2 linked regions of the Rattus norvegicus genome follow. The protein of the gene in region 2 interacts with the protein of the main gene of each other region in a pairwise test. Links are inferred from orthologs where the notes say so. Each region holds a gene or a part of one and is shown on either strand. Other genes may lie near its edges.

The links.
Region 1: the proteins of Clk4 (region 2) and Ubl5 interact in a two-hybrid assay, tested with the Homo sapiens proteins (2 studies listed by BioGRID and IntAct). The link is inferred for Rattus norvegicus from reciprocal best matches to the Homo sapiens genes CLK4 and UBL5.

Annotation. Positions count from the first base shown.
Region 1 is NC_086026.1:27,457,930-27,462,384, reverse strand, and holds Ubl5 (ubiquitin-like protein 5), read right to left. Parts: upstream 2,721-4,455; 5' UTR 2,547-2,720; intron 2,332-2,546; 5' UTR 2,321-2,331; coding exon 2,265-2,320; intron 2,119-2,264; coding exon 2,035-2,118; intron 1,895-2,034; coding exon 1,857-1,894; intron 1,107-1,856; coding exon 1,063-1,106; 3' UTR 927-1,062; downstream 1-926. UniProt on the Homo sapiens protein: Ubiquitin-like protein that plays a role in cell proliferation and sister chromatid cohesion by associating with spliceosomal proteins. Participates thereby in pre-mRNA splicing by maintaining spliceosome integrity.
Region 2 is NC_086028.1:36,032,067-36,036,362, reverse strand, and holds part of Clk4 (dual specificity protein kinase CLK4), read right to left. Parts: intron 3,345-4,296; exon of another isoform or gene 3,339-3,344; coding exon of another isoform or gene 3,286-3,338; intron 2,088-3,285; coding exon 1,865-2,087; intron 826-1,864; coding exon 735-825; intron 341-734; coding exon 274-340; intron 1-273. UniProt on the Homo sapiens protein: Dual specificity kinase acting on both serine/threonine and tyrosine-containing substrates.

The DNA of each region.
Region 1 (4,455 bases), on a different chromosome or scaffold from region 2:
CTCAAACAAGGCTAGAACTGACATCCAGGGTAGACCTCTGATCTCCATAAGCAGGCCATGGCAGAGTGCACACATAAAGCTCAAACGTGCACACTAAGATATAAGCTATCTAAGCTAGCTCAGGAGCATAACCAGCTTAGACTGTGCAAGGCTCTGGGTTTGAGCTCAGCATTGAAAAGAAAAAGTCACAAGAGTACTGTGCCAATATATACTTAAAGGTTCATTGGGTAAGAAGAGTATTACTGCCAAGCCTGATGACCCGAGTTCCAACCTTCAGACTGTCACAGTAGGAGGGGAGAACTGATTCCTGTAAATTGTCCTTTAACTTTCACATGTGCACTGTGGTACATGGATGACTGGCCCCACTCCATACACACATGCATATAAGTAAAAATTTAACAAAAATTCAAATCCAAGTAGTATATACGTAAATATGTACTTATTTATATATGTGGGTGTAATAGCTACTCTTGGTTGTCAAGTTGACTACATCTGGAATTAACTAAAAGCCAAGCAGGCTGGGCACACCTGTGAAGGACTTTTTTCTCCACTGAATCATTTAAGGTGGGAAGACTACCCTAAATCTGAGTCTTTTGAAATGGGAAGATGTAGTGGGTGGATGAAAATAATGCATGGGGCACCCATAGCTCCTGGCAATTCCTTAAGAGCAAAAATGAGACCATGGTGGTACAGGCCCTTTTCAGTCTCAGCACTTGCGAAGTGGAGGCAGGAGTCAAGATCATTGGTGGTACACAGCCAGTTCAAGGGTAACCTGGTCTATACAAGACTTCCAAGACAAAATTTTCTTGTTGAGATGCTAGGTGTGCACCGCCAGGACCAGCTTTCGGTCAGTCCTGAGTTCCCCTCAGGAGCAGTACCTAACAGCAGACACCAGCTCTCCCTCAGGACACAGCTCTCACACAAGCATGACAGCAGCAAAGCAGCAGCAAAATTTTATTCATGTGAACTGTTAAAAATGACCATCTATACCAGTGTCAAATGAGGGAGGGAGGGGAAGGCAGGGCAGAGCAGGGAGACGAGGGGAGGAGGGAGGAGTCCCCTCTACTGGTAATAAAGCTCCAGGTTCATCCCGTCGTGGATCTCATCTGAAGGGCAAGCATTAAGGAACTTTCACTGGGAGCTGATCTACCTTCCATCTACTCACAGCTGGGTCCTGTGGCTCAACACCCAGCCCTGGGTTAAGGAATGGACACTTTGATCTAAGAACTCCAAACTATAAATAATATTCAGTGGTCCTTAAGACCACTGAGAAGGCAAAGTTGTTTGCCACTGAAGCCTGGTGTACAGAGTCAAATCCTCAAGTGCCCCCACCCCATCATACACACAGAACAATACATTGTCAATGGTTATTCAGGCTGGAGACAGCTCAGCAGCTGAAGAGCTCTCAGGCCTGCTCTCCCAGAGACCTGGCTTTACGTCCCAGAGCTCCCGTGGTGGCTCCAGGGAATCTGAAGCTTCCTTCTGGTCTCTGCCAGCAGCAGGCATACATGCGGTGCACAGACATAATTGCAGACAAAAGATCCAGACCTCCCCTCCCCAAATTAAAAAAAAAAAAACCCAACCATCAATCCATCCATCCATCCATCTCCTCAACTACAGTCACACTCCTCCTGTCCAACACTCAAGTTGGCATTCAGTAAATAAGTATTTTGAACCAAGTATATTTCGCCAACGATCCTTCTCACCAGCAAAATAATTTCCACAGTTTCCATTTTCTCAGTAGTCATAATGGGGCATATTCTAAGTTAAGCATCCCTCTTGCTTAATTTCTGTACAGGTTTCAGCACAGAACCAGAACTTGAGATAAATACGTGAATTCTTTCTTGAAAGGATACAGTCTCCCAGAGACACGTGGTCTTTAAAAATCGTGTACCTACGGGATAGATAGCTTTCAGAGAGAAGCTGATAAGGGGTGGGGTGTTTTTTGTCCTGAAAACAAGCTCTTCGGGATTGTCTTGAGGTGCTCGCTCCAACGAACGCCCTCTAGCCTGATACTGACCAGCGCGTACTTACCACTTTTTAAGAACGATCTTATTCCAGCGGGTGCCAGTTTGAGCCGCTATCAGTTTCTTCAGGTCGCCGATGGTGTCATCGGTGCTGGGCACGAAGGAGTTAAGGTAAATGAAAGGAAAAGATAGACCGAGGAAGACGACTTCAGGCCTCCCCATAAGCGTCATTTAACTGAAATCATCCAATACCACCATCTGCCCCAGAGACCCTGCCAGTCACCCCTCGGTGGATACTTGCACTTAACGCGGACTTTCTTTCCTAGACGGTCGTTGCAAACCACCTCAATCATTGTGGCTGGAGCTACACCAGGTGGAGAAAGGGATGAAAAGCAGCAGTCAGGACTTCCAGGGTCGCCCAGGTTCCCAAAGCCCCTTCCTGGGTTAAGTTCTCTGGTCACACTTCCCCGAACACCCGACGCAAATCCTCTGCAGCCCCAGTCTACAGTTTCAATTGCGGGGACCACAGACAGTCGCGACTCCGCCCCTTAACTGCGGCAGGCCCAGCCCCAGACTCACCCGGCTTTGCCTCCCGCAACCCCTAGGCTCCCAAGTCTTGGCAGCTTCCCGCGATCTCCGGCCTCTCCGTTTAGCCTTCTCACCTCCAATGTCCTCGAACCTAGCGACGACACAACTTGTAGCTCGAACGCTGAATCCTGACCGGATTTAGGGCTGGAAACAGGAAGCGGAAGTGATATAACGGAAACACCGGCCCTTAGGTGCTTCCGGGTTCCGGGCTAGCAAAGATTTGCGATTCTGTTGCGCAGTCTGGAGGAGCTGAGACTGGCTAAGAGTGGATTTAAGCCGACGCTAGAACTGGTATTCCTTAATTGTGGAAGAGACCTAAAGGATCTCAGCGGCGGCGTGATCGACCATTTCCAAGCTAGACAAGTCTCCTACCGCAGAATCCCGGCTGCAGATGTGCGGAAATGGAGTCATGCAGGGCCTGTGGCTTTCTGCTTTCATTCAAAGCTCAGCCTCAAACCCCGTGCTTGTCTTTCCCCTCTGACCGTAGTGACCGTTTCAGAGACTTCAGGAGTGCAGACTGCATGATGAAAACTAAGTCGTATTCTGGACAGGAAGCCATGATGCGTTCCACTCCGCGTATCCGTGTCCTGCCTGCGAAAATGTTGGAAACAGCATACGGGGAAAGATCTTTTGCATTTGTTTTTAATCTTCAAGGAACACTTTGTTCCAGATTACAGACTCGCAAGAGCTGAAGGGAGAGGAATCCCTTAAATTTGACCAGTTTCGCCTCTATTGAGCAGACAGGACTTTTAGCAAGGTAAGCTTATATTGACTCAAGAAAGAGTCTACCCAGGGCCTTGTGCTTACCTAATACGACTTATACAAAATCTTATCCTTATGCGTAGGCAGCAAAAAGCATTACTTTTGCTTTCTATTGCGGCTTGTGGCCACGCCTCCCTGGCTTGGCTGTCCTGCTGGCTCCTCATCCCCATCCCAGTCACACTTTTCAGTTTCGAATGAAGTCCTGTTCCAATATCTCTTCTCCAATGCCTCGTTTCCGTTCCGAAAAGACTTCCCAGGCTCTACCCGACTCCCATATTGGAGAGTGAGCTTTGTTTTTCTTGTTTTGTTTTGGTATTTGTTTTAGTGTCGGAGGTCAAACCTAGGACCTTCTAGCATGTTAGCAGCCAAGGGCTCTCTCACTGAGCTGCACACGTAGCTCCTGGTTCAGCTCTTGTTTCTGTCTCCAGCGATGCTTTTTAGACCTCGTTCCTGCTCTTAATCATTACTCCAGTCCTAAGTCCCCCAGCTTCTCCCTTTGCCGCCCACCCATCCCCTATGTCGGACCCTGTTACGCCTAAGCTAGGTTTTTACAAACTTGGTCTTAAGGCCCAGCTAGGACTCCTGGTTCTTGAGCCCCTTCCCACACAAGTCATGGTTTCTGGGTTTGCTGCTCTGTTAGCTTTTCACTGCTCAAGTCATCTCTTCTGGATATGCGGTCTGGTCCTTGGATGATGTTTGCTTAGCAACAACCCTAAACCTTTTCCAGCTCAAGCCAAGCCTTCTCGGCTCTAGTCCCACAAAGACGCGCGCCTTGGTCTCTTCCTACTGAAGCCACGCCTTCCATTGTTACTGACAGCCTCCAATTTGCTCCTCTGCCCCTGGCCACACCCCTCCACTCGGCGGCGCTTTTTCAAATGCTAGTACTTTGGTCTCGCTTGCGACACCCGCTGCTCTTAGTCTCTGTCTCTTTACCTCTCTCCCGGAGTTCAACTTTGGGAGTTTGCTGCTTTTCCTCAGCCTGGCCCCCTGGCCTCCTGGCCCCCTGGTCCCCTGGTCCCCTGGTCCCTTGGCTCCCCTGGCCACGCCCCAGGACCACTCCCTGCCCGCCGGAGCCACGCCTTCTAGGCGTGTAGCTTTCCTCAGCCGGGCCTACAAGGCGTCTATCTGCCTGAGCTCG
Region 2 (4,296 bases):
GATGTACTTTAACATGTAAATTTAGATGTATTTTATTGATGTTGCAATTCAAAAGTACCAGAATGCTACATATCTTGTTTGAGCATTCCTTTACAGAGTAACTTCCACCTGAGAAAAACTGCCACCATTCACAATAAAACTAATACTCATGGCACATACATTACATTGCATTTCAGAAATTCTGTTGAATTTCTCTCAGGAAAACTTGTAGCAACCACTTTAAGTACATTGTAAAATATAGCAGAATGTTCAAAAAGGAAAAAGCAAACTTACATGCCATGATCAATGCACTCTACAACTTTGCCAAAGGCCCCTTCACCTAAAGTGTCCACGATTTCATCTAAAGTGAGGGAGAGAAAGAGAGATCTAAGTACTTTAGCACAAGTACCCAGCTGTTCATACAATGAATGCTTAAGTGTGGCATATTTCCAAATGATCTTTAGCAAAGCATAACTAAGGTTTCATCGCTCAAGTTATGGCATTTTCAGTTGCTACAAAGCAATTAGATAGAGCTATCTGTCTTGCTCTAATCTCAAACTCCACTGATTATCTTGGAATTTTAAGAATAGAAATATTTAAATTCTACAGAAAAGAAGAAATACAAAAGAACAAACAAACCCACAAAAAACAAAACAAAAAAGCAATGAAGAGTCTTTAGCCCCCCGCTGACAAACTATTCTTTAAAAGATTATTCTGTCTGCAAAGTTTAAAAAGTGTTGAAAAATATTCTATACATCTTGCTCTTAGAACGTCTCCACTTTGACAGATCAGGTGACCCTCCTCATCATCCTCTATACTCCTGGATCTTTTCCTTCGGTGGCTCTTCTGGAACGGCAAGTGGGCAGCACCAAGATCGTCCAGCCAATCAATATATCAGAGTGAATTCAGGGCAGAATACGCAATTCATTCAGCGGGGAGATATTCAGGCATTCAGATAAGCACCAGGCCACGAACAGTTGGCAGGAGCAATTTCAAATTCAGTCCCCAGAAATTCACAGGGCACAGTTTATGTTACAGAAGAAAAACATGGCAAGGAACAGATTTTCAGATAAGATACTTAAAGTGGCAATAGAAAAAAACAACACAATTGTCTCTTTAAAATACTGATTAATTGAAGTCTGCAGTCTACAGAATGCAATGTCACGAGTTACTAATTCTGCTATAACCATATGCTGTGAGCTGAGTTGTTCAGTCAGTCAGGAAAATGTCCACATTAGCTGAATTTGTTCTCTTTTAGCAACATTTAAAAGTGGACATCATAGTAAGAGGGGGAAGTAAAGACCAATTTCAATCTTCCATCTACTAACTGCTAGGTCTATTGAGAAGACTTGGGGGAGGGAAATGGTATCTCAAAGTTTACAAATGAAAGACTTTCTCAGTACATTTTCCGCTCAGCACCCAGGCTCACAGCTTCAGCAAATTAATGCAGACAATGATTTACTGTGCTAGGAGCTAGACTACACAGGAGTCAGCAACAGCTAAACACCCCAGCAGCGTGACTTGCCTGAGTTGTTTCCAACTACCAGTAAAGCAGTTTCTTTCAAAATAAAAAAAAACTTTACGTTCATAGAAGAAAAAATGGGTGCCTCATTTTTTAATACACTATACAACCACAAAATAAGATGTTCTTACTATTAAAACCAACAAACTCATGATCTGTTTTGCAGAATGAGTGTGTGGGCAAAATGAAGACTAAATAATACACAGGTGGTCAATTATGAGAACGTGTACATTTCCTTTAAGGATTCAAGTAACATGAATATAATTACAGCATATCCAAATTGCATTAAGCAACTTTTAGAAACTTATCACTCTTTTAGAGCTTTACGATCAATCCATTCAAATAAAAACAAATCACTCATACCGAATGTGACTGATGACTCGCACAGTGTCTGTTACGTTTTCTTTTAGGGCTGCTTCTCCTGCTTCTGACTGAGGATTTACTGCAATGGATCCGGTAAGTGCTTTCAATGTCTCTATGGTAATGTCTTGGAACATATCCTTCACAGTAGTCATTTCTGTATTCATCAATGTATCTCCGATCCCGATAATCTCTCTCATTCAAGCATCTTGCTTCTAAATAGTGACTGCAAACACATTAAAGGATTTCAAATTATTCTCTTCATTCTGGAATAATGTGGTTCAAACAAAACTTTCAAGAATTCTTGGTTTACACAGCTAACTCAATAAAAGGGAAAATTCAAATCAATGAGATGAAATTTATATGTATCTAAGAATGCTTAAGAAATAATTTTTAACCAAATAGGTCCATATTTTTTCCATATAAAACTGCTACAGCCAGGCATGCTTTAATCCTAGCACTTGGAAGATGAGGGCAGGAGGATCAAGAATTCAAGGCCATCCTGAGGTACACTACAAGTTTGGAGCCAGCCTGGGCCACAAGAAACCATCTCAAAAAAAATCCCATACATTAGAAATTGCTGTCAACCATTTCATACCAAGGAACAAAGCTTCAATTACAATATGCTGAAGATTAAATGTTCCTTTACCATCTAAAAAGTCAAGACCAAACTTTCGAACCTGTTCTGAAATACACTGATGGTACAACATAGGCAGCATCTGAAACTGGCTTCCTTTTCCTCTCTCAGAGCCATGCATTTAGAGAAAGGCAAAAGAGGATTCCTTTCCCTTAAACTAAGAGCAGTTTCAATATCCCTGACCAAGAGTTCTTCCAGAATGTGTGTCACAGACATGAGGAGCTTTAAATGTCTTTCAGCCCTTTTCATTTACTAACTGGATTAAGATCCCTAAATGATATAGCACTGTTGCAGAGCTTGCTAGTGGCAAAACCAAGGTATTTTCAAACTGCCACTCCTGCCCTATGTCATCTAATCTGTCTCCTCTCTTTTCTAAGTCTAAGCTTTCTATTACTCCTGTTTGAGAAACAGAGACCAGAACTTCTGAGGCCTGCCTCGTGTACCAAATACATCTAAACAGACCTTCTGTACAAGAAAGAGTTCAGGACTGTGGTCATCCTCCCACTCTACTTGCCTCTCTAATTTCCTGTGACTCTTGCTTAAAAAATACCCAAGAAACAGCAAACAGCATTTTCTAGTGCCACAGTGCATCTACAGATTCTCCAAGAACCTGAAGAAAGGTGCAGACCCTTTTCCCCAAGAAACGTACAAATGCATAAACAAAACTTGGCAAGAACTTCACGGAGGCCATGGACCTCAGGAAGTCAATGGATCCCAGCTGAGTGTCCTGATCTGATGGTAAGAAAAGGACAGATTCAATTGGCCCAGTTTCCCATCCCCCCTCTACCTGGGATGAGTGTCCTCTTCAACAGAGTGCGAAGCTTCAAGAGGGATGCACATGGAGCACTGGGGGAGAGAGGGGACACCTGCCCAGTCAGACAAATCAGCTAAATAATCCTGACAAGCAATGGAGTGACAGATGTTGCTGCACTGCCCCGCCAACCCCTTTACACTCCCCAGAATATGGTGTTATTTTCTTTCCTGGGTGCTGGTTTAAGCAGGAATAGAAATATCCCCAGGACTACTACTCAACAAGACTGGCATCTAATTCAGGCTGGGCCTTCTTATTGCCTAGTGTCATTCTCAAGTTCTCCTTAATTTTTGGAGAAACAAGTCAGGCTATTAGGATTAAACTCTGGGCCTGAGACAGTTGGTCTGAAGCAGAGATCTAGATGAAAAACAAGAAGCTAGCCACACTTCTACAGGCATCCTATTTAATTTTACAAAGTATCACACACCCACCAGATCCAAAGTCTATCATTAAAAAAAACTAGACTAATAATAATCTTAATGGGAATACACATGAAACTGGCCCTGCTGACAATCCAAAACAATCTACCAACAATAAAAAAAATGGGGCGGTGATACTATCAGGAGCAGAGCTAGCATGAGAAGGACCTTTCCAATTTATGACAACCAAAGACCAAAGTTTAGAGATTAAAGACTATAGAATTATACAAGCTGTGGACATGGTAGACAGAATCAACAGATTTAATTTTTTAAAAAATATCCACTAAATGCCCAGTAAAACTGTTAAGTGAATTGGCTTTTTTTATTTCCACACAGGTCCTATGGAAGACAAAATAAAATTATATAAGGCAAATTGACAACAAGTGAACAATTTAAGATTTCTCACAAAAAAAAAAAAAAGGAAAAAAAATCAAAATAGACAATGCAAAAAATGCTGAAAAGGTGCAAATGAACACTTAGGACTCAGGAAAGGCAAAGAATTCTATTTGCTTAAAATGATTAAGGAGGAATCCATGACAAAGATTGGAAGCAGATAAGCGTCTTAAAG